Linked DNA regions of Mus musculus. The protein of the gene in region 1 purifies or fractionates together with the protein of each later gene. This does not show direct contact. Links are inferred from orthologs where the notes say so. Each region holds a gene or a part of one and is shown in the gene's direction. Other genes may lie near its edges. The genes, in order: Cdk14 and Ccny.

Region 1 (16,127 bases):
TGGAACTCACAGAGATCTACCTACTTCTGCCTCCCTAGTACTGGAATTATAGGCATGTACTACCACACCCAGCTTGTTTTTAAAATGTAGCTCAGGCTAGCCCAATACTCCTGCCTTTGTCTTTAATGTAGCCTACCCCCATGGGTACATGCCACTAGAACACAGAAAGAATTCTTAATCATAAAAAAAAAATTGTAAGTTCTATGAAATATTTTTCATACCAAGTAAAGTTGTTTGCCAAATATTTTGTGGCAGGTGTGCTATTTGTTATTCTGTTATCCTTTTGTGAAGAGAGGAGATTCTGGTAATGAATTAAGCACACATTTAATACTTTCTATGCCAGATGATCTGCATAAATTAATATCTGCATAGTTTTAAATTTGTATAACCAGTAAAAATGTAATGTATATTGATGTTACTTCAAAAATAGATGTGTGATTCTAATCCTATGGGAGAAGTTGGGTTTTTTAATTTACTTTTCATCATCTTTTGAAAGTTTGCTGCAATATCTTAAGCACCCAGGGAAATAACGATACTCTTTTTAAAAGGGAAAAAAAGAATTAACAGTAGCCTCTAGGACACAGATGAGCACTTAAACATTTTATATAAGACTAAAACAAAAGTTAGAAGACACCGAGTTTTCAACTTCAATTTGAAAGAAGGTAGGAAAATTTAAAAAGCTCAAGAGGATAAGATGGCAATGCACAATTATCCTGGTAGCAAATGTTTCAATACTTAAAAAAAAATGTGAATGGACTAAACTTTCTTATTAAGACACAGGGATTGCCTGAGTGCATAAAAACTAAACCCATCTATGTAGTATATATGAAAGAGAAGGCAGGTCACAAAAGGTGTCAGAAATACTAAAACAAAGGCACATGCAGTCATTAAATTAATGAGAAGAAAATGTGAACTTTGGCTTAGAATGTCTTATTAAATGTAGAAAAGATCGTATGAGGATGAAAGTCCTACTTTATGTGGAAGGTATAACATTTCTAGAATGTTATGCATCTAAGTACCAGCCTTACACAGCATAAAATATCCATGGGTTTATATAGAAGATATAACAAATATGCCATCATCATCATCACCATAGGAGATGGATAACCACAGTCATTATAGCACTCTGCTAAGGTAAACTGATAGTTTCCGATAAAGCTGCTTCCCCAAAGTATGACAACTTAAGTGGACCCAGAGAGTGGTTCTAGCAATGACCCAAACCATGGTACTAAAAAGGCATGGGGAAAAATTGGTACAAAGTTGGTTCTTTTCATGAAATGCACGTAAGAAATACAAACAAAAGTAGTAAAATAAAGAAACAAGAATTTTATTTATGATTTAAACTTTGCGCATAAACTTGATATCACAACTAAAAATGTATTTCATAGACATTATTAAAAGTGTAGTTTTCTTGGGTGGGAAGAATGAAATTGTCTCCTATTGGTGAGCTCCTTACATTTAGGTACACCTCATTTTATCTAAATGCAGTAACCTGCGGCAAAAACAAAGGTGCAACTGTGAATGTGCACAGTTCTTCAAAACAGTAAGCCGTGTTTCCAGTGCTGCACATAGCTCTCCTAAGTGGAGGGACTGCAGATACATGAGGTTCACCCATCTTATCTCTTAGATGAGAAAATTAAGATCAGAAAAAGAAAATGTGTTAAGCCAGACATGGAAACTCATGTCTCATGTAACCTCAGCACTTCAGGAAGCTGAGGCAGGAGGATGATCATGAGTTCAAAACCTACCTTGACTATCTAGTAAAAAATAAACCTGCCTTGACTGAAAATGAGATCTTATATCAAAAAACCAAAGAGAAAAAGAAGTGGTACTCATTGCTCTGTATTACAAATGTTCGCATGTTTATGGTCACGAATTTAGTGCTGGATATGGGCATACCAAATATTCTAATTACCAGTTTCTTTAAGTACCTAAAGTATAGTAACGTAGAGTTTGGGGTGATTGGCAGCATTTTTTCTTTTTAAAATAAATGGTATTTATTTAATTTGTACAAAATTGTGTCAGGTCCCAAACTCAAATCTGATTGCAGTCTGGTTCGAATGCTCTATTTTATCAAAATGATATAAAATTGATAGGGATGGGATGTTCACTATGTAATTTATAAACAGCACCTTCAGTGTAATTATGCCTTTACTGTGAAGTCTGTCTATTTCAAACTTGAGTTTTAGAGCTGTTAATGACAAATTTGTAAGCATGAGAGGTCTTGAGACAGGAAGGGATAGTGTTGGTGACCTAGACCCCTCTGTAAGGGAGAGAAGAAGGGCTTTGAAAACGACTCCTTTTCCTGTGGACAGATGTCTCTTAGACAAAGACACTTAAAGCCAGTCCTGGGATCTGTCTGTAAATGAAAGAGACAAGTGAAGCAAACATCCATTGCAGCAATGGATCCATCCATTCATGACACCTTGTGATGGGAAGATGTAAAGCTCCACTTTTGTGTCTGCCTGAGTGCATCGGCTCCTTTCCCCTTCCACAGCCCCCTCCTAGAAGCCTTCCCTTCCCACTACAAAAATGTGAGAGTGTGGAGTTGGAGGCTGAGGCTAATGGTGTGCTTAGCACCTTCAAGGCTTTTGAAATTACTGGCGGAGCAGCTTGGCCCCAAGCCCCAGCCCTGTCTGGCTGCCTCTGGGAGTTGGTAGAGTTAACACTGCTTGCAGAAACAGAGATGTGTGGGTAAACGCCTTTGGAGAACATGGATTGCCTCAATGAGCATTCCACTGCCATTCCCTACCTATTTTCTATACCACCAAATGGGGGTAATTCCCTGGTTGGACTCTTATAGAGGGGGTGCCATTCATCAGTGTTGTGTTAATTTTCCATGTCTGATTGCTCTGACCAGCGGAATAGTTTCCATGAAAAGCAAAACTGGGAAGACCAGGCATGGCTGCCACCCAATGGAAAGCTGATACCACATCAAAGGGTTTGCTTCTATCCGTTTCTCCTATAATCTTGCGACACATACCCTCTATCTACTGTTGTTTTAAAGGTCATCTTGAATTGATTGAGCCCCGTATCATTTAAGCATATCTGTTTGTTAACCTGGATGCCGGTATCAGAATGGCTGGCATTTGGCAGGACAGTTGCTTCGGTATTTTTATTTTATTATTATTTAAGGCAAGAAAATATAAATTCTTTGAGGGAAAGTAATTTTAGTAACCGGAGAATTTAATAACTTAATAACAGCTCTATTTTAATTCCCCTAGTTATTCGGTATTAATTTCCTATAAATGCATCCATATGTGTATGCCATACAAAGAGTCCATGAATGAATGCTGGCAACTATTTGATAAACTGTCATCTATAATTTTCTACTTCTGAACTTACTTTCATCCATTCTGAAATAATCAGTACTTTGCTTACAGTCAAAATATTTTAAGTCAACAATCCTTAGCATATCTAGAGAAAAGGACATTTTAGGATAACACACAGTGGAAGGGTGCATGTGCCTTCAGTTTGTTTATTTCAGCAGGTAATTTAAGTTGTTTCCCTGGCCAGACATAAACTGAAGTACATAAGATGTGGCATGAGCCTTAAGTCGTACTTAGTGACTGTCTCCTTCGGTCTGATGTTTTCTCTGTTTTTGCTTGTTTTCAGGCTCAGCTATGTAAATCATGCTGAAGACTTGGCCTCCAAGCTTCTCCAGTGTTCCCCAAAGAACAGGCTATCAGCACAGGCCGCCTTGAGCCATGAGTATTTCAGCGATCTGCCTCCACGGCTATGGGAGCTGACTGATAGTGAGTAGGACTCCAGCATCCAATCGGAGCCCTTGGTCATCAATGTGTAGTATGCATGTAGATAGATGGGCTCATTCATGTTGCATAAACATAAGGTTGTGTGTTTGTGTGTATGCATTCTGTGTGGGTGGGTGTGTGTGTGAGAGAGAGATGAGAGAGAGAGAGAGAGAGAGAGAGAGAGAGGAAGAGAGAGAGAGGAAAAGAGAGGAGAGAGAGAGAGAGAGAGAGAGAGAGAGAGGATTCAATCGCTCAAGCCAGAAGGGGAATTGTGTGTATATATATTTATTGGAGTCCTGCCATTCAATTGCTAGCTTACCAGACACAGAAAGAAAATGGATTCATTTTTTGCTATCTCTCCTCTGCAGTCGGCAGCTGCGCGTCTTTGTATTTGATTATGTGTGTGTCCAAAAAAATGATCTGAGCAGTCATAAAGGAAAATATGATTTACATATTTAGTGCTTTCTGCATACAGTACTATTTTAACTGGCTGCAGTACACAGAGGAAAAATGATTCATTTCTGTTTGATTTTCAGAGACCATCTTGGTTGTAACAATAACCTTCAAAAGCACTGCTAGGCAGTGAACTGAGGACCCGAACTGGCAATTGGCAAATACACTGAATTGACATGTAAGAGCTGAAGACATGGAATTCATTTTAGCTACACATGTTCTTGGTATTTGTACAGACAGCTCTTCTCTAGATCTTTTTAAAACAAAACACATTCCTGGGTGGGTTTTTGTTTTGTTTTTACAAAAGTACTCATATTTACACAGGCTTTTTCAATTACATTTAAAGTATTTGGGGAAGGATTTATGGCTGGGAGGATCTCAGCTTTCTTCCCAAGTGTGAAGCAGAATTCTTGTGAAATTTTGAAAAACATTGTGGCAGCAGTAGGAATATTTTTATTCAGTGGTGATATGTTCCAAAGACCCGTTAGAGATATTTCATATTTCCTGATTGCCTTAAAAATAGCATACGGCATAGATAGATAAATATTTATAAGGCATTTATTAATTCTTATGCATACATCACTTATAGTAGACAGGAAGTTACTTCCTTTGTCTCTGGAATTTATGACTCCCCTGCAGCATTGGATTCTCCATAGCAACAGTCAGCCACCCTTTCTTTGGATCCAAATCCTAAGTAACAACTCCCCTGAGTCTTCTTAACCTAACTTTTCTTTTTCTATCTCACACTTACGTGTGCTTCTTGCCCCTCCCCGCCAAGGTAGCTATGGGTGTATTAACCTGATGCTTTCCTTATGCATTCAAACCCTCATTAATATCTTAAGCATTCCCAGCCTATATTTCCTTTATCATCTATCTTACTTCCTTTCTAAAGGTCGATCCTTGATTATAACAGTGATTCCAAACTTTAAAGGAAAGTACAAGACTTAAATTTATAGGGGAGAGGAAAAAAAAAAAGGAACGGATCATACCTCTCCCTGTGCTGGAAAAGACGAAAGGGAGGCAGGGCCCACTGTGTTACAGCCCGCTGCAATCAAAAACGGGGCTTGTTTTCCCTATGCAGTGTAGCTTCCACCTTGACCTCCTTGGCGACAGCTCAATGCTATCTGACTTGATGATGGAGTTTAAGCCAGGATTTTGAGAGTCTGCGAATTCCCAATTCTGTAGTAGTACTTCCCTGTTAATATGGACTTATTACCCATTTGCCACTTAGTTTATCAGCCAGTGGTTAAATCCAGTTGCTATAAGGGAGTAAATGCCTACACATTATCACCGAGCAGCAGCCTGCCAACCGAGACAGCCCCGTCCCTGTCATTAACAAGCACAATGTATGCAGAACACCAGAGGGGAATTAAAACCACAAAAAATACCTCAGGGTGGTATTTTTAATATGAGAATTTAATTTGTAATTTCACAGATTAAGAATTTTGGCTGCATTAATCCCTTTATCAGCTCACAGCAGGCTATTTGCAGAAGCATAACCATAAGACGATATTCATTGGCAGAAACACGTCTCTGCAGAACGTTAAACATCATGAGCAGCGAAACCTTTTGAAGGGGGGAGAATAAAGATGAAAAATCATTATATTTTTAAAGCAAGATCCTACTAAATGCCTCCAGTAACAATTTTGAGTTACAGAAATGCTATTTCTGTGTCGGGAAGATAATCATTATGAAGGGTAAATCGATTCGCAGAAAGGACAATCCCAGCACTAAATACTACAGTCATTTCCATTTAGAACAACGTGGCTGCCCTTGTAAACATGTTTTCAAAACAAAGAATCCCCAGACTCATGTGACTTTGGGAATTAGTTCCTTAAAGTGAATGAAGGGCTCGTGTTACTCTTGTCTGAGTATTAGGCTGACAGTACTTGTAAATTCTTGACATTCTTCATATTAAACTTCAGATGAGCGTAGATTTTTTTTTTTTTTGTAAAGTTCACTGTCTGGTAAATGACAGAATGTGTGACACTTCAGAACCTTTCCATCTTCCAGTTCAAGGGTGTCTGGGGGAGGGTGCACCTGTCACAGCAATACTGCAGAACCAAGGAAGGGATGTTGTCTGCAGCCAGCTCAGAACGGATGCCTCACCAGTTCCAAGATCCAGGCTGTCTTGGTCAGCTCACATTGTCCTAAGGAAATAGCATGGCACGGGGAGGCTAAAACAACAGATATTTATTCTCACAGTTCCAGGGGAGGAGAGTTCAGGACGAAAGTGCTGCCTGGTTCTGTTCCTGGTAAGGGCCGTCCTCATGACTCCCAGGCGCCCCTTTGCTTGCTCTTACAGGACACAGAGAATATTTCTCATTTTTACATGGCTACTAATCCCATCATAAGGACCACTCCCTTCCTGAGACCATCTACATTTTATCACCTTCCTAGTCAGGCCCTCTAGGCCCATATAGTCCACATGGACATGAGAATGAATGGGGCCAGTTGGACCTCTTAGGGAAGTGACCACCACGGAGCAGATAATACAGTTGATAGGGCTGATCTGGATTGAGCAGGAACCATGGTAGGAAGTATAGAAATAGAAGCATTCATGGCTAGCCAAGCCCTGAGAGTGGTACAGGCAAAGTCAGCATACATTTCAAAATGGCCACGGATGCACCGTAGATCTGTGAATGTTTATTGTAGTTATGTAATAAGAAAATTTAGAAGCAAAGTATTAGTGTCATCAGAGCAGGAAATAGAATAAGTGCATCAAGCAAAAGTAATTATAGGATTAGGTAGGGAACTCTGTGGCAGCCAGGCTGACCAGGGATGGTGACAGTGTCAATCTCCTGTCCCCAAATCCAAACAGCCTTGCTCTATTCCTTCATAAGGATTTAATTGCAGGGAAATAAATAGTGGGTTGATTTAGAAGAAATTCATTAGTTTCGCCAAGCACACCACAGGGCATTCTCTGTGTATACTATCAAGTTACATAAATAATTGAAGCTGAACTATCCCTGTCGAAGTAAATGAACAAAATACAGTTCACAGCGCAGAGGCCTTGATTTCATTACATTCATTTGCTAATTCACAAAACTCAAATCTCCTCAAAGAAGGCCAGCAAATTGGTCCGGTGTGGAGAGCAATGAGCTGGGAATCACACGCCCTAGCTACAAGCTCAGCCCCACAGGTCCTGGCCAGGCAACTGTGGCCATGTGCCTTGGTCCCTCTGTGCTCCCAACTCCTCATTCAGAGAGCAAGCTGAAGAAGGCATGGAAGACCCACAGGACCTTTCTAGAGCTAGTGCTTATAGTCTCGACTGCATTGTCCTGTATAATACTCTAACAGCACGATGCTATTATGTAGTGTTGTGCTATCTTTTTATGAATATGGCAAGCACACCTATTTTTTTATTACTGAATTTATTTAATTTGACCCAGGGTTGCACTATATGTAGACTAGACTGATCTTGAACTCACAGCACTCCCTGCCTGCAGAGCTCTGCCTTCCTAATGCTGGAATTTAAAGCTTGCATCACCCTGCTGGCCAGTTGAACAGCTCTGCCCTTTCCTTTCCAGGTTCCACCTTGAGTGTCTTCTGTGTAGGTGGTGATAACCCCTGTGATGCTATTTCAACCCCTCTGTCTCTGGGGCTTCCCCAGCTTTTAGCTAGATCTGTCCGTGGAATTAGTCACATTTATCTGGCACCTTTTCCTATTAACACATCCTTCCCTTGGTTCCCCATGTAGGATTCTTTCATGGTTTGACTTTTACCTCCTGCAATGTTGCTTTGCAACCTCTCTGATCTGCCAGGCAGGCTAAGGAATGCCGTTGAGTTCCCAATGTATTCATTCTCCTTAGACCTTTCTATCTGGTTCATTCCCTAGAGCTGAGTGATGGCATCCAGCCTCAAGATTTAAATATTATCCACACACTGACACTGACTCCAAAGGTCCCTAGCTCGCAGACTCTCATATTCAAGCAACTACTTAGCCTCTCCTCTTAGCCCTCTGTAAGACACTGAAAAGCTGGGACTGCTAGAATCAAACTCACGATCTATTCACTGCAACCAGCTCCTTCTGAAACTTCCCAAATGTTAGAATCAAAAAGTACTTCTCTCAGGCTCGGGAAAGATGGCTCAGTGGTTAAGATCACTGACTGCTCTTCCAGAGGTCCTAAGTTCAATTCCAAGCAACCACATAGTGGGTCACAATCATCTGATATAGAATCAGATGCCCTCTTCTGATGTGTCTGAAAACGATGACAGAGTACTCACGTATGTAACATAAGTAAATCTTTTCAAAAGGGACGTCTCTCATAAATTATTTTTTAAAAAATGGCAAAGACTTGTCTCCGAATCCAAGTGTATCATTCTAAGATCAGCAAAACAGGAGCCGTGGCTCTACCTCATGCAAATGTGTATGTGTGTACATGTACGTGTGTGTGTGTGTGTGTGTGTGTGTGTGTGTGTATACATGTGTAAGTGCATATAGCTGTGTGTGCACCTTTGACCACTTGGCATTTCAAAACCGACCCTTACCACAGCGTTTCACATGCTGTAAATCCAGAGAGAATCACAGTCCTCTTTAAATAAAGTGTCAACATGTGTATAAATATGTAAACGGAATATCGCATTCTCTCCTCAGTGTCTTCTATTTTTACCGTCCCAAATGTGAGATTGCAACCAGAAGCTGGAGAGAGCATGAGGGCCTTTGGAAAAAACAATAGTTATGGGAAAAGCCTATCGAACAGCAAACACTGACAAGCCCGGCACTCTCAGGAGAGCACAGGTAAGAGGCCCTGCTTTGCTGGAGAGTAATGTTTGCAATAGATGGGGAATACAGTTTTCAGTGAACAATTTCAGTCTCATTTCTCCCTGAAGCTGTCTTGTGAGTCCTGTGGGCTTATTCTGGCCTGTGTCAAACATTTTGCTGAGGCAGAGAACAATCACTGATGTCAGCGTTTTCAGGCACCTCCGAAGCTCTTAGTAATGTTGTGCTGGATCCTGTAAGTTCGCTCTGCAGTCACTCGCAAACCACTGAGTGCTGAGCACCCAACTCGATTACTCCTGAGTTCATCACTGAAGTTAGCAAAGGTCCACTATGAGCTGGACCTGAACCACAGACCTGTTTTATTTGGCCAATGCAATTTGCTTTTAATTATTTGCTGTCATTTTAAAATTGGGATACTTCATACAAAATTCTAGATTTTTAGCTTTTCATGAAGTATGGGCAACTCTGACAATGCCCCCAGTTCTGCCCCACCAGACGATCTCATGTGTGATAAGAGAAAATGTGCAGCTGTTGTTGTAAGCGAAGTAGCTTGCCAGGTCCTCCCTGGGCTCTGATTCCTGTCTGGCCCCTGCCACAGACCTATTGAGGTAAAGCTCTGGGTCTCATAGTTTGCTTCTTTGACCTCTACTGTTTTACAGGTAGGAACTGTGAACTATCATGGTGATGTTCAGGCATGTTAACCTGTCAAGTTATTGCACATGCCCAGGGCCAAGTTTAAGGCAGTGATGTCTAAAAGGTTGTATCTTTCTGGGTTACCAGAAAGAGATGTCTGGGGTGTTTGGTTGGTTTGGTTTGCTTTGCTTTGGTTTGGTTTTTCAGTTTTGGTTTTTCAAGGCAGGGTTCCTCCCAGTATTCCTTTCTGTCCTGGAACTTGCTCTGTAGACCAGGCTAGCCTTGAACTGAGAGTTCCCTCGCCACTGCTTCCTGAGAACTGAAATTAAAGCGGTATACCAACACTACCCACTTCTCACCCTTATGGGGAAGCCCTTCTCTAATGCTTTTGGCAGAGCATGTTCTGTGTTCCATAACTAAGTGCTGAATGACGTGAGCTGAATACAAGAAGAACTGTTCACGTGTGTGTGTCTGTGAGGATGTTGGGGATGGGGGTGATATAGGCAAGAGGTTGATATCAAATACCTCCCTCAATTTTTGTCCACCTTATTTTTTAAGACAGTGTCTTTCATTGAACCTGGAACTCTCTGACTCAGGTCCAGCAAGAAATCCTCATGTCTCTGCCTCAAAAGCATTGAGTTTACAAGTATGAGCTACCTGCTTGACTGGTTGTTTTGTTTTGTTTTGTTTTGTTTTTTAATTTGGGGGAATAGCCTGATTCTCTCTTATTTGGAAATATGGTAAGAAGCAAGGTGGATTTATAGCAAAGACGGTGCACACAGCTCTTCGGTACACCTGCCAATCTTCAGCCATTTTGGAACCTAGGTTTTTATGCCCTCAAAATGGAGGTTAATTTTGCTAGCCTAGGGATGTGGCAGTGATTTATGTTGCTTTGGAAGAGGAAAAAAGGCTCCTGGTTAAAGTGTGACATGTAAATACTGGCCAGTAGATACTGCTACTAAACCACGGATGAGAGGACAGCTTTCTTTGGGTCATTGTATATGAAGTCAGTGTCATCTGGGACCCACTCTGAGTTGCAATGGTCAGATAGCTTGTGGCTTAGAGTCTAACCAGTTTCTGACCAGTAGCCTCGTGGTTCTGAGAATGGTTTGATTCATAAAAGTTACATGCAGCATGTGCATTTTAATGGTATTTAGCTCCCGAGTTATTAACCCTCTAGCTAATTCAGTAGAATAAGAATGAAAACTGGCTCTGTTTTATTGATTCATGCTTACATGCAAGACTGAATTTCAGTGGCAGGATTGTGCTTGCGTGTCCTTTCTTCTTGGCTCTTCTGAACTCTCCTGATCTACCCAGTCAAAGTTGCAAAGATGTGCTTAAGATCAGCTCATTATTGTACAATCAAAAGGAGCTGACTGGACAGAGAATTGCCCGGAAAGGCTCAAAACTTGCTAATTGAAAAGAGATTTTCAAAGGTGCTCAGAATTGGAGCCAGCGGTGCTTGCTAAGCTCACAGTCCACTTCCTCACACTGGGTCCAGGCTTAGCTCCACAGTGGGCAAGTGTCTCTACAATTGTCTGATAATGTACAAATATTCTCCTTATGACTGTTATCTTTGTCACATCAACGTTGAAGTCTTCAGCATTGTTGGTCCACAGAGCACATCTGATTCAGCAGGCCATTAAAGAAACATCTCCATTCTTTTCATAAAAGCTGCAGAAAATCTGGATTCTAACATGTTGCTGTCAACACAAAAAGAAATCATCATAGTTTCTTATTTTACCAAACATTTCCATGTTAGAGATCAGATATTTTATTAGTCCCTACAACATGTGGCATGGCTCATTTCTGTCCAGTAGATGAATTTCAAGCTAAGGAGATTATGAAAGAAAAATATCATGTTAATGAATCTCAGGAAGAAAGATGTCATCCTCTAGTCTTTGGTTTTCTTTCCTGGTTTTAAATGTATTCATCACCTGTTTGGAGTCTGTGACATATTAAGTTTCCCTGAACTGTCTTGATTTTTTTGTAACACCCATAGTGACAGAAAAAGAGAATGAAGGGAAGAGACTGGGGGCTGAGGTAGTCTGAGCCCAGGCTAGAGTTTTAGCCACCTCTCTCTGCTGATCAGCAGGCTCTTGGTCTGGAACTTGGATTGTGTCATGCTGCTTTTGAGATGACAGGGACAGGGCATGCAGGAATGCTCCAAGTCCTAATATTTCTCCTGTACCTCAGTGCCACATTGTTCCCTTTCTTGCAAACTGAGGTCACTTCAATTATTTAGTTAATAATGTCTGGTTTGCATAAATTGGCCTTAGTGGAAAAGCTAATGCAAAGCATTTTGCTGTGTAGAAGAAAGCAATTGGGTTTTAGTCTTGTAGCAAAATTAAATGACAAGAAAGCCACAAGTGCCAGGGTTAAGACTAGGATCGCTGCCACTGGTGCTCACTGCTGAGCTCCATTCAGCTCCTTACTCTCTAGCCATGTTACTTAGCCGTCTCAGAGCTTGTCCCACTCGTTTGGTTAGCATTGAGAGTTGAACAAAACCCAAGCAAGTTTCAACTGTACATAGGAAACATTCATCAAGGAAAATACCACTGGTAATATCAAATGTCACATCCTTTAGTCGCACTTACATTTGTATGTGGTGATACCAACCAGAAGTCTGTGCTGAGGTAATTTTTTTCAGTGTGCTGATGGGATAGAGTGGGTTGGTCACTGTCTTTTTTAAATAATCTGGGGATAAGAATACCCCTTCTCCACCAGTGATCCTATGCTCTAAGATCAAGAATCGACAAATGGGACCTCATAAAATTGCAAAGCTTCTGTAAGACAAAGGACACTGTCAATACAACAAAACGGCAATCAACAGATACGGAAAAGATCTTTACTAATCCTACATCTGATAGAGGGCTAATATCCAATATATACAAAGAACTCAAGAAGTTAGACTCCAGAGAACCAAATAACCCTATTAAAAAAATAGGGAACAGAGCTAAAACAGAGAATTTTCAACTGAGGAATACCAAATGGCTGAGAAGTCACCTAAAGAAATGTTCAACATCCTTAGTCATCAGGAAAATGCAAATCAAAACAACCCTGAGATTCTACCTCATACCAGTCAAAATGGCTAAGCTCAAAAAGTCAGGTGACAGCAGATGCTGGCAAGTGTGTGGAGAAAGAGGAAAACACTTCCATTGTTGGTGGAATTGCAAGCTTGTACAACCATTCTGGAAGTCAGTCTGGTCATTCCTCAGAAAATAGGACATAGTCCTACCTGAGGACCCATCTATACCACTCCTGGGCATATACCCAAAAGATTCTTCAACATATAATAACATGCTCCACTATGTTCCCAGCAGCCTTATTTAAAATTGTCAGAAGCTGGAAAGAACCCAGATGTCCCTCAACAGAGAAATGGATACAGAAAATGTGGTACATTTACACAATGGAGTACTACTCAGCTATTAAAAACAATGAATTCATGAAACCCTTAGCCAAATGGATGGACCTAGAAAATATCATCCTGAGTGAGGTAACATAATCACAAAAGAACACACACGGTATGCACTCACTGGTAAGTGGATATTAGCCCAAAAGCTCAGAATACCAAAGATACAATTCACAGACCACATGCAGCTCAAGAAGAAGGAAGACCAAAGTGTGGATGCTTCAGTTCTTCTTAGAACTGAAAGGGGAACAAAATACTCAGGGGAGCAAATATGGAGACAAAGTGCAGAGCAGAGACTGAAGGAAAGGCCATCCAGAGACTTTCCCACCTGGGGATTCATCCCAGATACAGTCACCAAACTCCAGCACTATTGTGGATGCTAAGAAATGCTTGCTGAAAAAGAGCCTGATATAGCTGTCTCCTGAGAGGCCCTGCCAAAGCCTTACAAATACAGAGTCAGATGCTCAAAGCCAATCATTGCACCGAGTGCGGGTTCCCCAATGAAGGAGTTAGAGAAAGAACTGAAAGAGCTGAAGGGGTTTGCAACCCCACAGGAAGAACAACAATACCAACCAACTAGACACCCCAGGGACTAAGACCCCAACAAAGGAGTACACATCGCTCTAGCTGCATGTGTAGCAGAGGATGGCCTTATCAGGCACCAACAGGAGGAGAGGTCCTTTGTCCTCTGAAGGCTCCATAGATGCCCAGTGTAGGGGAATCAAGTGGGTGAGTGGGTAGAAGAATACCCTCATAGAAGCAAGGGAAGGGGGGTGGATTAGAGGGTTTCTGGGAGGGGTAAAGGGATAATACTTGAAATGTAAATAAATTAAAATAAATAAATAAATAAATAAAACACTTAGAGTAAATGTGAAAATAGTAAAGTAAGGTGATAAAAGAAAAAGGCCTCAAAGGGGAAAAATGGAGGGGAGTTGCTAAACACATACATGCGCACGCACACACACACACAAAACAAGAAACAAAATTATTCCCAATTTGAAAAGTTTTGAGAACAAGATTAGATCAGTGTAAGAATGGAATTGAAAAATGAGTTTTTAGAGAAACAAAACAAAACAACCTCTCCCCCAAATACTCCCAAATTCAATAAAATAAAACCAATGTAGTACTAAAAGTATAATGAAGAAAATAAGGTTGGGGAAAACAAAGAAGTAATGGGGGAAAAAAGGTAAAAGTGAGATTATCCAGCAATCTTAAAATGTATAAAAATTTGGCTGGAGAGATGGCTCAGTGGTTAAGAGCACTGAATGACTTCTCTTCCGAGGTCCTGAGTTCAATTCCCAGAAACCACATGATGGCTTACAACCATCTGCAATGGGATCTGATGCTCTATAATGGTGTGTCTGTAGCTACAGTGTACTCCTATGCATAAAATAAATATATCCTTTAAAATTGTAAAAAAAAAAATCCCTTCTCAATGAATGAATAGTCTTGGACTCCATTAAACTCATAGTAACCTTACAAATATTTGTCTAGTGTATGAAGTAATACTGTTTGGCTCAATTGTGAGAGATTAACTATGCATACTTTGGCGATCTCCTTCTGTTTCAGCATATCATCATTCTTAGTCCAAATTATTTAAGAATTACATGACAATGAAAAAAGTCCTCAGCCTCACTTTCCTTACCCCAGTCAGTGAACAGTCATTTCCTCAAAGTGATCTGTTAGGTAAAGAGATTCAAAGCTATTCATTGTTCAAGAGTTTTCACTGACTCACTTCATTGACTAGGATCAAGGGTTTGGTTTTGTTTACTTGGCACATTGTTTGTTTGCCAAAGTCTATTCATGACCTAGTGTGCTGCTGCCACCTTCTCTGAAAATAGGCATCTCATATTCTAGGACACCAAACTCCTGCAAAGTTTTCCAACCCAATACCTGGGGTTCACGAATCAATATTTTAACAAACTCCAGTGGTCATTAACTGACTACTGAGAGATGGAGAATACATTGTCCCTGGGTTGAGCTCACTAAATGGTTATGTAATACCTCATGGCCACCTCTAATCACATATTCAAAGGAGCAAAATTGAATGGGCTCAGTGGGTTGTATTTATGTATTTAATGGGGTGGTGTGAACATGCGTGTGTATGTGTATATTACAATAATTACACAGGCTAAAAACGGGGAAGGGGGGGTGGGTTGGAAAGAGGAAAAGGTAAGGCAAAATGACAGAAACACAGTACTCATAGTCCAAATTCTTTAAAAAACATATAAGAACTTAAGGGGACCATAGATAGTGAAATCTTCAATAGTTATCCAGGGATTGCATGTTTATAAGGTAAAATCAACAACTTACTTGAGTCAGGACAGAGTAAAGATAAACTAGGAAAATAGTATACCATGAAGCAGAACTATTTGTTCTCCCTCTTTCCTTTTCCATAAGAAAGAATGGTTTCATGGTGTGTAATGTAGGAATTGTATGCCCATTTAAAATTACTTAATTTAATTTCAATTCACCTTAAATATCTCTTCCTTGCTAGAATTTCTCGTGCTGTATAGTTGAAGTGCATAGATACCAGGTCTGAGGAGACCAGGCAGGCATCACACAGTACCCTTCTGGACAACACTGATGGAGAACTCTTCTTCCATCCACCTATTTTAAGGAAAAATCAAGAAAACAGAACAGAATTCATTGCAGTCAAGTGTATCTTGGTGCTAGATGAAAGTCGCTTTAGAAGGACTCGGACGGTGAGAAAAGAGGCACTTGGCCAAAGCAAAAGGAGCCAGAGCCAGGTGACTGAGTTACATGAGAGGCATGGAAAGACACAATGCCTGGTGCCCACAAGAGCAAGAGATGACATTAGCAAGGGCCATAACTCCATTGAAGTGCCATAGTGGCTTCCTCCGTTAGCAGTAGTATGCAAAAGGAAGGCAGACTGACAGTCGATATAGCTGCACACACTTCACAAAGACAGGACTGTAAGGCAGAAGCCAACAGTAGCCTTAATCTGTCTGCCATATTGACTCTGGAAACTGCTCCAGGAGATGGAGGTGTCCAAGGCTCCCCTTCCATGCTGTGACATTGTGGTGGGTCACTTTTACAGTCGGTGTCATATTGTCTTCATCTTCTCTTCACTTTGTAGTTTCTGTTGCCTTGTTTCTGCTTACTCATGGATCCATCTTCCTCTCTCTTCTCT
Region 2 (16,127 bases), on another chromosome or scaffold:
ATTTCATAAGTCCATTCTTTTTAATAGCTGAGTAGTACTCCATTGTGTAAATGTACCACATTTTCTGTATCCATTCCTCTGTTGAGGGGCATCTGGGTTCTGTCTAGCTTCTGGCTATTATAAATAAGGCTGCTGTGAACATAGTGGAGCATGCTTCCTTATTACAAGTTGGAGCATCTTCTGGGTATATGCCCAGGAGTGGTATTGCTGCATCTGCCATTAGAACTATGTCCAGTTTCCTGAGGAACTGCCAAACTGATTTCCAGAGTGGTTGTACAAGCTTGCAATCCCACCAGCAGTCGGGGAGTGCTCTTTCTCCATCTCCTCCCCAGCATCTGCTGTCACCTGAATTTTTGATCTTAGCCATTCTGACTGGTGTGAGGTGGAATCTCAGGGTTGTTTTGATTTGCATTTGATTAAGGATGTTGAATATTTTTTAGGTGCTTCACAGCCATTCGGTATTCCTCAGGTGAGAATTCTTTATTTAGCTCTGTACCCCATTTTTAATAGGGTTATTTGGTTTTCTGGAGTACAACTTCTTGAGTTCCTTTATATATATTTGATATTAGTCCCCTATCTGATTTAGGATAGGTAAAGATCCTTTCCCAATCTGTTGGTGGTCTTTTTGTCTTATTGACAGTGTCCTTGCCTTACAGAAGCTTTGCAATTTTATGAGGTCCCATTTGTCAATTCTTGATCTTACAACACAAGCCATTGCTGTTCTGTTCAGGAATCTTTCCCCTGTGACCACATCTTCGAGGCTCTCCCCACTTTCTCCTCTGTAGGTTTCAGTCTCACTGGTTTTATATGGAGTTCTTTGATCCACTTTGACTTGAGCTTTGTACAAGGAGATAGGAATGGGTCAATTCACACTCTACTACATGCTAACTTCAAGTTGAGCCAGCACCATTTGTTGAAGATGCTGTCTTTTTTCCACTGGGTGGTTTTAGCTCCTTTGTCAAAGAACAAGTGATCATAGATGTGTGGGTTCACTTCTGGGTCTTCAGTTCTGTTCCATTGATCTACCTGCCTGTCATTTACCAGTACCATGCAGTTTTTATTACAATTGCTTTGTAGTATAGCTTGAGGTCAGGGATGGTGATTCCCCCAGAGGTTCTTTTATTGTTGAAAACAGTTTTTGCTGTCCTAGGTTTTTTGTTATTCCAGATGAATTTACAAATTGCCCTTTCTAACTCTGTGAAGAATTAGCAAAGGCTCTTAAGAACAAAAAAATAGTGTTGTTCCGATTACAAAACTAAGAAGTTTGTATGTGTGTGCTTGTACCCTCATTTGCTTGAGGTTTTCCTAGTAGCCACTCTTTGCTACTTTAAAATGCAGCGAGGGGCTTTCTGGTGTTGAAAGAGCAGAGAGAACCAAACTTCCTGATAGGAATCTTAGTTAATGGTTGCTTACTCAATTTTCTGTAGAAATGCCAAGCCAAATAAAGCCAGTGTTTCCATTTTCACTTTAGGGTACCATCAAAACTTTCAGAATTGTTCTATAATAAAGTACCATGAGCTAAGTGACTTAAACAAAAACAAACGAAAAATGAAAAACAAATTTATCTGGATATGGTGTCATACACCCAAAGTTCTAAATACTTGGGAGGCTAATGCAGTAGGCTCACTTGTGCTGTGGAGTTCAAGGCCAGCCTATGCAACACAAAAATCCTAGGAAAGAATGTTGGGTGGGGAGGGGGGGGTAGCGGAGAGTAAGGGGAGAGGAAGAGGGAAGGGGTGATGCTACTGTGCTTAGAATCAAATCTAAGATGTGCTCATGCCAGCACAAGAGCTTCTTTTTTTTTTTTCTTTCCATTTTTTATTAGGTATTTAGCTCATTTACATTTCCAATGCTATACCAAAAGTCCCCCATACCCACCCACCCCCACTCCCCTACCCGCCCACTCCCCCTTTTTGGCCCTGGCGTTCCCCTGTTCTGGGGCATATAAAGTTTGTGTGTCCAATGGGCCTCTCTTTCCAGTGATGGCCGACTAGGCCATCTTTTGATACATATGCAGCTAGAGTCAAGAGCTCCGGGGTACTGGTTAGTTCATAATGTTGATCCACCTATAGGGTTGCAGATCCCTTTAGCTCCTTGGGTACTTTCTCTAGCTCCTCCATTGGGAGCCCTGTGATCCATCCATTAGCTGACTGTGGGCATCCACTTCTGTGTTTGCTAGGCCCCGGCATAGTCTCACAAGAGACAGCTACATCTGGGTCCTTTCGATAAAATCTTGCTAGTGTATGCAATGGTGTCAGCGTTTGGATGCTGATTATGGGGTGGATCCCTGGATAAGGCAGTCTCTACATGGTCCATCCTTTCATCTCAGCTCCAAACTTTGTCTCTGTAACTCCTTCCAAGGGTGTTTTGTTCCCACTTCTAAGGAGGGGCATAGTGTCCACACTTCAGTCTTCATTTTTCTTGAGTTTCATGTGTTTAGGAAATTGTATCTTATATCTTGGGTATCCTAGGTTTTGGGCTAATATCCACTTATCAGTGAGTACATATTGTGTGAGTTCCTTTGTGAATGTGTTACCTCACTCAGGATGAGCTTCTATACTGACCTGCAATCCTGATTGTTGAAAAATTCTATACATCAAATACTAAAAATCCAAATGGAAAAGTTATAGAACATTTAAAAGCATGAAGCTATAGTTATTCCCTTAAAATAGTTTGTTTCTTGGCTCCACGTTTGAATCTGTAGAGCATCGTTGAGGGCTGAGAGTTTGGATAATAATTCTCATGTGCTAAAATAAACGTGAAAACATCTGAAATAGGATACAATTGGGGATGGAATGAAGATGTCGACTCTTATTACTGTCTTGTTCTTAACATTCTTGTCCTATGCCTTATTAGGGTCATCTCTGATTAGCTAAATCAAATAGCTGTAAGACTACAGGATAATATGCAAAAGAAATTGTATATTGTTTGAATTCAGGCCATTTACCTGACCTACATAATTTTTTAAATTCAGATTGAATAATTGCATCACTGTTGAAGTTTTCTTTATGTATGTTCGTTGCTGAGCTTGAATTTAATCTTTTTCTGCAAAATGCCTTCCCAACCTTTTCTTTGTCTGTAGTCAATGGAGTACTCTGTGATTCCGCAGTTGACACTAACCTGTACTGTCTCGAAAGTTCCTAGGCTAGTCTTTTGTATGACTACAATGTGAAATTTTAATTGAACAGTCAGCACTATCTAGAAATAATATCATGAAAATCAGTATTACGTGACTTAGCATAGAATCAGAGTACAATATTAGAACATTTCCCCCAAATATGGTATTACTGACAAGTTCTGCTGAATCACATGCTAGGAAGATTTGTTCACTCTAATTATCTCCCACAATGTATCAGCTGCTTTCCTCACATGTAACATCTTATGATGTCTCCATTCTTCAGTAAGCCCTCAGATGATTTCACTCACATATCAGAAATCAAGTTGGTTCTTTCAACAGGCACAACAGGCAGAGTATTATTGGTATCCATCAACTAAGATAATTTTAACTCAAAATAAAATTTCATAGCCACCTTTGTACCTAAGCCAGTAGAAATTATTTCATTGCTGAGATTTCCCCAACTTGTGTACAGAAGCTGTTACCAAGCTGTGGGAAGATGTTGCGTCTCCAGTGTCTATGAACTGAGAGGCCGAGGTAATCCCAGTTTCTGTTTTCTGCCTTCAGAATAGTTTTACCTGCCTTACCCTGTAGAGAATGGGAAGAGTATTATTGTCAAGACTTGAGAAAGTACAATTTGGGGTTCTCTAGAATGCCCAGCTGAAAGTCAGCCTGGCCCCAACCAGTTATTTGTTTTATACAAATAAAAATCATTCTCTAAAGCCCACCCTCACTGCTCATGCTCCTGTATGATAAATTCCATTTAAAATCCAGATATCCAGAGGTTGTTACTGAAACGATTAACTTTCATTTCTGTCATCAACAGCCGGCTCTCATCCTTGTGACAAATCCTCAGAGCCAGCCACAGATATTCTCATAGAGCAGTCTGCATTCCGACTCCTGGTTTTCTGGGCTTCCCTCCATGGCCGCTGATTCTTATGGGTAATGCAGAAGAATGCCTTCTTGATCACTTTGAGCTGTCTCTCTAAACCTCACTGCTTCAGCTCCCTCCATCTGTGCCAATTCTTTCCTGAATGCCAGTGGCATTTGGTCACTTTCCCCATTAGCTTCCTTCTGCATTTCCTTGCTACTATTTTTGTTGGAATATAACTGTGGCGGAGGCTGCTCACAGTTTTAAGCAGATTTCATTAATGGATACCTCATGTGAGACTGGGGGTGTATTAAAAAACAAACATTTTGGCAGCATTAATCTGTCCCAGCCTTGTGCGGGGTGGCACACAGTAGGGCTGTTATCAGGAACTTAGGATTTATTGTAGAAAGAGATAATGAAAAGACTTAACTATATTGAGCTATTTCCAAATACTTTACTGCCTCAGGAAGTCTTGGGTCTCTTAACACACTTGACTTAGCTTTTCTTTGGAATCTGGAATGTTAGTTCTTGCTGAATGTGATGACACACAACTGTAAGTTTTTTCTTTGTATTCAGAGTGTGACCTGGTCCATCCTGCATACCACATGGTATTAGAAAGTAGCCATAAGAGTCTAAATCTTCAAGATCTTAAAAATTGGTATTTCTTAGTGAATCACTGAAAACAGAACAGTGATCTTTGGGAACCAAGCAACTGTTACTGTCTTATTTTGTGCATACCTGGCAAAGTTTGCTTCAGTTGGAAGGAGCAGTATTGAATACTTTGTTTCTCAATATCATTAGGTAGAACAATCTTCCTATATGTGGTTCAGGGGCAGGAAATGTTGGAGGAGGAGCTGACCCAGGTACCCTGCTGCACTGACTCGTGATTTCCCCCAGCAGCCGGAGTTCGCTTCTGGAAGGAAGCGTCTCCATTCCCTTTCCTACCCTCATCTCTCCTCAGCCTGCCCTCTTAACTGCTTCTCTGGCCTTCATGCTGTGCTGAGTTTAATCTTTGTTGGTTACTATGAGAGACAGAAATTCCATTTCCTTCCTCGGTACTTGGAAGTGTGTGAAAAACCTCTGAGTTCTCCACACAAGTATGAGCCCAACAAATAGAATGGGCCAGATCCACTTTCCGTTCCAACTTCCTGCCCCATCATCCTGTCTCCAGCTCCAAACAAGGGAAGGGACTCCCCTCTCTCTGCTACTCTTCATTTCAAGCCTTGGATCTGCCTGCACAGACTCAGTCATGTCTCCATGCTCACAACCTATGGGATATTTATCTCAGACATAGAGCACACAGTCATATCTGCAGTTACCTTCCATACCTTTTCCCCTCTGGAACCTCCAGTTTCTAATAAATGTATTTAGCCAACTGCACATTCCAGAAGTCTTGGGTACTTCCAAGATGGCCATCTTTGGCACCTTCGAGATCATTTCCTGCAAGTGTCTGAACTATATTTAGATGGTCTCCACCGAAAACACTACTTCTTTCTATTTAGCCTGATTCATAATTTTCCTTCCAAGTGCTACCTCAAGTCATGGGTGCTTCTCAGGCCCCTCTCTGACCCTGACTGGAGGCTCAGGGTCAGCATGGTGCATCCACTGGGATCTGCACCTAGACACTGTTTGGCAGGTAAGTGAACTCATTGACCTGTCTCCTTTCTCTTGTCTGCTGTCATTAAGTCTATGGTGCTGCCTGGTGTCTTACTTTTCACTTCACCTAGTTCATCTTTGCCAGCCCATGCTATTGTCCTGATTCTCTAGGACTTGGCCAAAACTGAGCCTCTCCTGGGAGCCCCAGTACCATATCTGGTATGGGTTTTCTTTCTTTAGGAAATCTCTGTCCATTGTTGGGCTTCCTGTGGAGTTCTTATCCCCTTCAGGACCTTCAATCTTAATCTCCAACTTCTCCCTAAGAGTTCCAACTGGATGTGAATAAAAAATTTAGTAAGTAAGTTTAAAAAAGAAAAAAAAAAAAGACATAGAAGGCAGGAATTATATAAAAAAAATAAATAAATTGGACTTTATAAAAGTTATACATTTTCTTTTCCACATGTGGCTTTTTATACATTTTATAACTATTTAGGACTATACATACACGTGTGTGTGTGTGTGTGTATGTGTGTGTGTGTGTGTGTGTGTGTGTGTAAGAGTAATATATACATAAAGCTATACATATTCTATCTTTTTATAAAGCAAGTTCTTAAGAGTATTACAAATCTGAGTTTCATTTTTCTCATACAGAGTTTCATTTTGTAAATGAAAAGCAATAAAAACTGCAAAATTGATTAAAAGAAGCTTTAAATAGTCTAAATTAGTTATGGGAAACTAATAGGCAACTTACTTAGGACACAGTTTTTTAAAAAGTGTGTGTGTGTGTATTTGTGTGTTTGTGTGTGGATGTGTGTGTGTGTGTATTTGTGTGTGTGTGTAGTTGTAAGCCACCTGATATGGGTATTGGAACATAACTTGGGTCCTCTGAGCCATCTCAACACCCTGTGACATCTTAAGTGAAGGACTTCCTGTTTGTTTTGTTTATGTGTTTGTTTATCTGTTTGTTTTCTAATTTTAATTTTTTTACTTATTCAATTTACATAGCATTCACTGCCCTCCTCCTGGTCACCCCCTCACACAAGTCTTCCTCCCCTCCCCTTCTAGGTATCCCCCCCCCCCCTCATGCTGGCATATCAAATCTCTTCAAGGCAACCCGGCAAGAAGAACATATCCCACATACAGTTAACAGATTTTAGGGTAGCCCCCCTTTAGTTGTTCAGGACCCACATGAAGACCAAGCTGCACATCTGCTACATATGTGCAGGGAGGCGTAGGCCCAGCCCATGTATGTTTTTTGGTTGGTGGTTCAGTCTCTGAGAGCTCCAAGGGTACAGGTTAGTTGACTCTCTGTTAGTCTTTCTGTGGAGTTCCTGCCCCCTTGTGGGTGGCAATCCTTTTTCCTGTTCTTTCATAAGAATCCCCAGGCTCTGTCCACTGCTTGGCTGTGGATGTGGGTGTCTGCAAGCATAACAGAGTATTAATTAATAGTTTCAGGAATTAGTGTTTGCCCATAGGATGAGTCTCAAGTTGGGCTGCTTATTGGTTGGCCATTCCCTCAGTCTATGCTTGATCCCTGAAGTATAGAAAAGAAAAATTTGGGGTCAAAATTTTTGTGGGTAGGTTGGTGTCCTTATTCTGTTGGGGGCTCCTGCCTGGGTACAGGAGGTGGCCTCTTCAAGTTCCATATCCCCTGTGCTGTGAGTCACACCTAAGGATACCCCCATTGATTCTTGGGTGCCTCCTTATTCCAGGTCTCTGTTTTGTCCTGAAGATGCCTTATACTGACTGAAATAAACCAGGGCCTAGAAGATAAATATTGTATGATGCACTGGTATAAAATACTCATAAGATACTTGTTCCTAGAGGTACAAAGGTACAGTAGTGCTTGTAGGAGAGTTGGCAGAAGGAGGAATTGTAGGGGCTAGAAAAAAAATTGTTCAGTGTAGATATATGTTAATGTTAATATATGTAGAATTTCATTTAGAGACAATAAAAAAGCTGCATATTGATGGGTAAAGATAGTTACTGAACATTGAGCATACCTAGTGCTTCAGATACAATTAGAAATGATTGAGCATAGTGTTGTGACATGTGTTCTACTATAGTAATAACCATATCAGCAGCCACATGTGAATTGAAATTACAATGAAGCTCAGTTTTTTAAAAACTATAGGGGGCAGGAGGATCCCTGTGAGGTACATAGTAAGATCCTGTCTTTCAAAACAAACAAACGGTGCCATTATGCTTCCGGAAAAGTCGCAAGGAAAAGTATTTCAAGCAATGGTTGTGGCTGTGGGGTCGGGCGGGAAAGGAAAGGGTGGAGAGATTCAGCCTGTAAGCGTGAAAGTTAGAGAGAAACTTCTCCCAGAATATAGAGGCACCAAAGTAGTTCTAGACGACAAGGATTATGCCTTATTTAGAGATAGTGACATTCTTGGAAAATATGTTGACTGAAATCACTGTTGAAATGGTGTCACGTGAAGCTGCCCATTTCACTGACTTTCTGAACTATTTCATCATGTAAATAATTTTCCATGCTCAATAATAAATGGATGATGCCTAAACTGGCAGCCATTGTCCCTGACGTTTAGATTCATTGCACTATTAAAACATTTCCAAATAAAATGATGTAAAAGAGTGGAAAAAAACAAAAGCTCTGTAACAGGCAACAAGATGGATGACTCAGGAGATAGAGGCACTTGCAGCATAACCTGGAGACATGTTCCATCCTCAGAGCTCACAGGAAAGGAAAGGAGATAGCTGGCTCCATAAAGCTGTCCTCTGGCTTCCACCTATGCAGCATGGCACATGTCCTCACACAGCATACAATGATTTTTCAAAATAAATGCTGAATAGGTCAGTGGCTAAGATCAAGAATAAAATACTTCATAGATGAAGAAAAAAATGCTATGTGGCCTTTACATGCTTTGTTTGAGAAAGTATTTTGACCAGTGGCTTTGAGATTTATACCAGTCTCAATATTGACAAGGCAAGCTACATTTTCACTGTTAAAGTGTGTGACCTCCAGCCTGTGTCTAAGCATACTCACTGGTCTTGAGTGCTTTAAGAATTAGTGTGTTCTGGTGCACTTATGGCCTCCAGATCATTGTTCTCAGGGACTCTTGATTCTTCTTTTCTTGTCTTGTCTTCTCTTGTCTCTTCTCTTCTCTTCTCTTCTCTTTTCTTTTCTTTTCTTTTCTTTTCTTTTCTTTTCCTCTCCTCTTTCTTTCTTCCTTTCTTCCTTTCTTTCTTTCTTTCTTTCTTTCTTTCTTTCTTTCTTTCTTTCTTTCTTTCTCCAAAGAAGGTTTTATTTTTCACCAAATGTATTATCTATTAACCATTGTGTAGAATTTCTCAAAGAACACATAAAAACAGTAGTTTCTGAAGATTGCTAAAACCATCAAGGAAACAGAACTACAACAAAGATCAGCTGACATAGACACATTGAGAAGAATGTGGACACCCGCCTGCCATGCTCGTTCACTGCCAAGTGCTTCTTATCTCGTATCTACCTCTAGATACACAGAATCTTAATGCCTTCTGTTTCTTTACAGCAAAGATTTTTTTCTTTTCCATATTTTTAATTGGATATTTTCTTTATTTACATTTCAAATGTTTTCCCCTTTCCAGATCTCTCCATTGGAAACCCTCTATCCCCCCCCCCCCGACTCTATGAGGGTGCTCCCCCACCCACCCACTCCCATCTTCACACCCTGGCATTCCCCTACACTGGGACATCGAACACCCACAGGCCCAAGGGTGTTCCCCTCACTGATGTCCAACGAGGCTATCCTCTGCCACATAGGTGGCCAGAGCCATGGGTCCCTCCATGTGTACTTTCTGGTTGGTGGTCCAGGCCCCAGGAGCTCTGGGAGGTCTGGCTGCTTGACACTGTTGCTACCCCCATGGAGCTGCAAACCCCCTCAGCTCCTTCAGTCCCTTCTCCAATTCCTCCATCGGGGACCCCATGCTCTGCATCTACCTCTGTATTTGTCAGGCTCTGGCAGAGCCTCTCAGGAGACAGCCTTATCAGGCTCCCTTCAGCAAGCACTTCCAGGCATCTATAATACTGTCCAAGTTTGGTGGCTGTACATGGGATGGATCCCCAGGTGTATTGTGCAAATGAGTGGTTCTGTTTCTTGTGCCTTCTCTTGGGCGTCTTTCCTTCTGTTTGATTTGTCTAATTTTGCTGCCTATGTTAGCCTTTGTTTTAGCTTACTGTATTTTATTTTATTTTATTTTATTTTATTTTATTTTATTATCCCTTCGTAGCCTGTTTGTTTCCTAATGAGGGACAGAAAGGGAATGGATCTGAGTGGAATGGGAGGTAGACAGAATCTGAGAGAAGTAGAGGGAGGGAAAACTGTATTCACAATATAATATGTGAGAAAAAAATCTATTTTCAATAAGAGGAGAAAAACAGGTTTAAAAAATCTTAGGTTATATATTTTAAGTGTACTCAACACATTTCTTTATATATGTTTAGTGTGCTTGGTTTTGTCAGTACCTTTGCCATTGCTCTTATAAATGACATCATTTCAAGACACGTTTTTTTACTAATTACAGCAGATTATTCATATAAAGAAGTAAGTGTGTCCAGGTAACTCCTAGTTAAAAGACTTTTGAGTTACTTGGGTGGAGGAGACAACTGAAAGCTTATTAGCATTGGTTTCCTCATGTCTCTTGTCTCCTCAGGTATACCTTGAAAGGCTCTTGACATACGCAGAGATTGATATCTGTCCAGCCAATTGGAAGCGCATTGTTCTAGGGGCAATCCTGCTGGCCTCTAAGGTGTGGGATGACCAAGCTGTGTGGAATGTGGATTACTGCCAGATCCTGAAAGACATCACAGTGGAGGACATGTAAGTTCCGGGGATACCATGCCTATTTGGGGTGGTAAAAAGTGAGTGAATTTAGCTGATGGTTTTAAGTCAGTCCAGCAGGAAACCTGGCTATGGAAATGTAGTGAATTGTATTTCTCATCACTTTGACCAGGAACAGGTGCTGGCAATACTTTCTAGTTTCACAAAGTATTTGCTGAAACTCTGTTCCAGATAAATATTTCTTTGGAGATTTATAGTTAGGTTTCCGTGTCACATCGGAATAGTAGTAAAAGTCTATGTTCCTCTGTGGGCAGCAAGCCTAACCGGAGAAGTTCAGAAACTAAATTAGAATATTTTCATTTGGCTTCAGAGGACACATTCCATGTTTTGGCATATTTGGCAAGTTCAGATACTGATAATCGGTTCTGTACTCTGGGGCTTGATTTGCACAAGCATCATTCCATCATTCTCTCTGCAAAACCAGTGGAGGAGCCTCCACATGAGGACAGCCGTCCACCTAGCTCCCAGGGTTATGTGATGATGTCCCACTGGACCAGACCTCAGATTCTGTGAGAATTACTGGCTGAGGGCCTATCCACGGGTATCAGAAAACTGAGAAGGGAACGCTGAGTCATAGAAGCACTCAAGCCTCTCAACCATCAGGAGTCTTTAGTCAGTTCTTGTGTTCTTTGCTTGGCTTAACACTTAAGCTAACCACCTTGAGGAAGGAGGTTACTAGCTATATACCAGTCACACCACATACTTGGACCAATAGCCCTAGAGCGAGAATCTTATTGCAACCTGTGTGGGAGAGTCACCAGGCTAGAGGCACATTGGCTACTAAATGATATAGCCAGAATTTACATTTCTTTTCTTGGGAACGGTTGAAGCAAAAATCTTCTAAACTATATATGATATTGTATTTTTAAATGATCATCTGTCTGTCTGTCTATCTTTCTATCTTATCTATTTATCTGTCCCTCTTCTATATAAAAACCTACAAAATCTGACCAAAATTCCTTCAGCTGAAATTGAGTGTAAAGAATGGTTTGGAGGCTGGAGCTGGAGCTCAGGATCTGAGCATCTTGGTTTGGCCCCAGTACCTGCAAGAGAGAGGGAGGATTATTTTGATGAGCATACACTAAATATATGTTCTTTTGTGAGATCTTCAGTACCATAAATAATTATCTGTTACAATGAGGTTGGAATTTCTTTTCAAATAAGGATTTTTTTTTTAAGAAAACTAGTTTTTTTGAAAGCATTATGTTACATGTAATACTAGTATGCAAAATATAGAACTCATACAAAAGTTCTATGTTTTCCATATTTTGTCAAAAGAAAAATAATGGTTTTTTTAGACTAGTTTCTGTCCTTTCTTTGAACCCTATTGGTAACCAGGCTCATTGATTGCCAGCAAACCACATGCTAATTCTCATCAGATCATAATAGCCTGTGATGGATGATAGCTTTATACCAGTTTTGAGCAAAGGGAAAAAAACACACAGTGACCACTCGGTTCCAGAGTGTAGACTGTAACCAGATGTCTCGTGCAATTGCCAGTGTTTGGAGGTAGAGACAGGGGATCCAGACAAAATTCAAGCCCAGAGTATATATAAAAATCCTTTTGAGGAAAATAGAATGTACATCTTGTGCCCTTCACCTACCTCTGGAGACTATGGACCTCTATTAGGCCTGCTCCTCTCTCTCCTGACTAATTAGCAAGCAGCCTATTGAGACTCTTGTATGATGACCATTTGTTCTGAGTGACAAAGTTCTTGGTTTGAATAGCTATTTATATGCCGAGAAGACTATGTTTTCTCAGAGGGAAACTGGTGACACAGGTGGGGAGATCTGTGGTGTACAAGTTTGACTGCCCTGTCCCAACCCCAAGCAAAATACCCAAGGCCATGGAATTCTTCCTAGTATGGCATCAGTGAAAAGAATGTTCTGTATAGTGATCCACCATGACCACAGAAGTCGTCACACATTTAGCTTGGTTTATCCATCTTTAAAATATTTTGGAAACCTTTATCTGTCTACTATGAGATGATGCTAAAACTTTTTCTTTAAGTGTGATAGCATACGCCTTCATTCCCAGCATGCAGAGGCTGATACAGGATGATGCATGAGGACCAGGCCAGCCAGATACCAAGACTTAACTCAGAGAGAGGACGTGGACAAGTTTCTCTCATCATAATTTGTGATTAACCCCATTTTAAAATGGCAAGTGTGAGCCAAACCCTGAGTGCCACCATTATTCATGTTCTCAGAGTCTGAGGTTTTAGATTGTCCCCTTTCTCATTGAGCTAAATTTTCTTTTGAGTTTCTTTGCTCCTTAATCTGTTCTTAAATTATCTGTAGCAGAAAACATCCATACAAAGTGACACTGTGGTGCTGCTTCCCGGACTGTAATAGAATCACTTATAAACTTCTTTACCTCAGTAGCACCCAGTTGATCAGCACAGTGTGAAGAATCATTTGTGGTGGCACATGCCTGTAACCTCAGCACTCAGAAGTGTAGGAGGAGGGTAAGTAACAGAGCAGCCTGGACCCTGTCTCAAGAAAAACCAACAAAAAATAGGAATCTTTAAAGGTTATAGAATAAACTAAATCTATTAATGAGATTGGTATAGCTGATTTACTCCACCAATTCATAATTTTATTATTACCTCGTGGCACAAGTTATTCTCATTGTTATCTTCAATAATATAGTAGCTTCGAAACGTGACATTACAAGGGATTTTGTTATATTAATGCCACTGAACTATTTTTAGGTTTTTCTGAATTACATATTAAAATCATAGTCATGTGTTAATACAAGTTACCTAATTCCAACTTTTTTTTTTTTTTTTTTTTTTTTTTTTTGGTATTAGCTAGCTGCCCACTGAAATTGTTTTCTCAGTAGCAACACTTTAGAAACTCCACTTTGGGATGAGGAACCTATGTAAGGCTGGGTGCACAGCCTGCCCCACCTCCTAAAACAGAAGAAAAGTGGTGGAAAGAGGCCAACCCATTGATTTGCTCCCTCTCAGAGGCCAGTGAGCTTTAGCAAACAAAAGTGATAGGAGATATAGTGATAGGAGTGATAGGAGTGATAGTGAAAGGAGTCTTCCCCCATGCTGTGCTTCTCAGCATGCATTTGTCTCAGATAAATGTGTATCCCAGCACTAAGACTAGAACCCACATAGAGGCCTGTAACAGGTTCTGGCTGTTAGCAGCCAAATTAGATCTCCTCAGAGTTCAAACATTCAAAATCTGACCCATAAAACTCAGGATGTAACTATAATTGGCAGTAATGTTTTTGAAGAAGACATCAACTAAAAATGGGGTCATCAGGATGGGCCCTAATCAAATGTCTATGTTGTCCTCACAAATGGACAAGATTGAGCCATAGACACACAGAGAGATGGCAGTGTGAAGGTGCAGAGAAGGCAGCAATTTCTAACCAAGGAGAAAGGCCACAGCAGATTGCTTGATACTGACCTCTCATCCTTCAGAACCAAGGGGAAACATTTGTTGCTTAGGATACCCAGTCAGTAACCCTGGTATTTGGTCCTAGTTTTTTTGAGGAGACTTTTGCAGATTTCAGTCTTGGGAAATCTTGCTCTAACAAATTCTTGAAAAGGTAGGGGGAATGGGGGTAAAGGTAGCTTTGAAGCTCAGTTCCAAAGGATAGAAGAGATTGGAGGCATGTTTTCAAAAGGAAAGTTAACCCTGGATTCTTAGAGATGGTTGATAGAAATAGAGACATTGATAGCAGTTCTATTGAGGGCTTAGAAAGAATACAGCTGTGGGGAAGGTTGTTTCATCTCAGGTATGAGCACAGATCCTGTATCATGACCAGACCTGAGGGTAATAGGTATAGAAGAGAGTAAAGATTCCCAAATCAAAGGGCCAGCAAACATCTTCAACAAAATTATAGAAGAAAATTTTCTTAATCTAAAGAAAGAAATGCCCATAAACATACAAGAAGCCTACAGAACACCAGAGACCAGAAAAGAAAGTCTTCTCGTCACATAATAGTTAAAACATCAAATGCACAGAACAAAGAATGAATATTGAAAGCAGTAAGGTAAAAAGGTCTAGTAACATATACAGGCAGACCTATTAGAATTACACAACTTTTCTCAACAGAGACTCTAAAAGCCAGACTAAAAGATCCTGGCCAGATGTCATACAAGACCCTAAGAAAACAAAAATGCCAGCCCAGGCTACTATACCCAGCAAAACTCGCAATTACCATAGATGGAGAAACCAAGACACTCTAAGACAAAACCAAATTTAAACATCTTTCTGGGGCTGTAGGGATGGCTCAGCAGTTAGAGCACTGACTGCTCTTCCAGAGGTCCTGAGTTCAATTTCCAGCAACCACATGGTGACTCGAAACCATCTGTAATGGCCTGATGCCCTCTTCTGGTGTGTCTGGAAATAGCTATAGTGTACTCATATACTCTCTCTCTCTCTCTCTCTCTCTCTCTATATATATATATATATATATATATATATATATATATATATATATATGTGTGTGTGTGTGTGTGTGTGTGTGTGTGTGTGTGTGTGTGTGTGTGTGTATGTATATGTATATGTGTATATATGTATACACACACACACACACACACCAATGTCTTTCCACAAATCCAGCCCTAAAGAGGATAATAGAAGGAAAAGTCCAACACACGGAGGGAAACTACACCCAAGAAAAAGCAAGAAATTAATCTTTCCACAACAAATCCAAACAAAAAAAAGAGACACAAACATAATTCCACTTCTAAAAACATACCCAGGGCTGGAGAGATAGCTCAGGGGTTAAGAGCACAGACTGCTCTTCCATAGGTCCTGAGTTCAGTGCCCACCAACCATATGGTGGCTCACAACCATCTGTAATGGAATTGGATGCCCTCTTCTGGTGTGTCTGAAGACAACAACAGTATAGTCACATGCAAGCAATAAATAAATAAATAAGAAAAAAAAAACATACCCAAACTTATGGACACAATGAAAGCAGTGCTAAAAGGAAAACTCAGCTCTGAGTGTCTCCAAAGAGAAACTGGAGAGAGCATACACTAGCAGCTTGACTGAAAGCTCTAGAACAAAAAGAAACAAATACACCCAAGAGGAGTAGGTCAGGAAATAATCAAACTCAGAGCTATAATCAACCAAGTAGTAACAAAAAGAACTATACAAAAATCAACAAAACCAGGAACTGGTTCTTTGAGAAAATCAACAAGATAGATAATCCCTTAGTCAGACTGACTAGCGGGCCTAGAAACAATATCCAAATTAACAAAATCAGGAATGAAAGGGGAGACATTACACCAGAAACTGAGGAAATTCAAAAAAATCATCAGATCCTACAAAAGTGTATGCTGAACAAAACTGGAAAACATGGATTAAAAAGGATGATTTTCTAAACATACACCAGTTACCAAAGTTAAATCAGGATCAGATAAACCATTTAAACAACCCCATAAACCCCAAAGAAATAGAAGCAGTGAAATCTCCCAACCAAAAACTCCCAGGGCCAGATGGTTTTAGTGCAGAATTCTATCAGAACTTCAAAGAAGATCTAATACCAATATTCCTCAAACTATTCTATTAAGTAGAAATAGAAGGAACACTACCCAGTTCTTTCTATGAAACCACAGTCACACTGATACCTAAGCCACAAAAAAAAAAGAAAAGAAAAGAAAAAGAAGAAAGGAAAAGAAAAGAAAAGAAAGAGTACTACAGACCAGTTTCCCTTATGAATATCGATGCA

Evidence for each region.
Region 2: the proteins of Cdk14 (region 1) and Ccny purify together in Homo sapiens (affinity purification with western blotting; 3 studies listed by BioGRID and IntAct, with this or other methods). This does not show direct contact. The link is inferred for Mus musculus from reciprocal best matches to the Homo sapiens genes CDK14 and CCNY.

The regions. Positions count from the first base shown.
Region 1 is NC_000071.6:4,881,656-4,897,782, reverse strand, and holds part of Cdk14 (cyclin-dependent kinase 14), read left to right. Parts: intron 1-3,615; coding exon 3,616-3,755; intron 3,756-8,802; coding exon 8,803-8,918; 3' UTR 8,919-8,946; intron 8,947-16,127. UniProt on the Homo sapiens protein: Serine/threonine-protein kinase involved in the control of the eukaryotic cell cycle, whose activity is controlled by an associated cyclin.
Region 2 is NC_000084.6:9,327,062-9,343,188, reverse strand, and holds part of Ccny (cyclin-Y), read left to right. Parts: intron 1-10,238; coding exon 10,239-10,405; intron 10,406-16,127. UniProt on the Homo sapiens protein: Positive regulatory subunit of the cyclin-dependent kinases CDK14/PFTK1 and CDK16.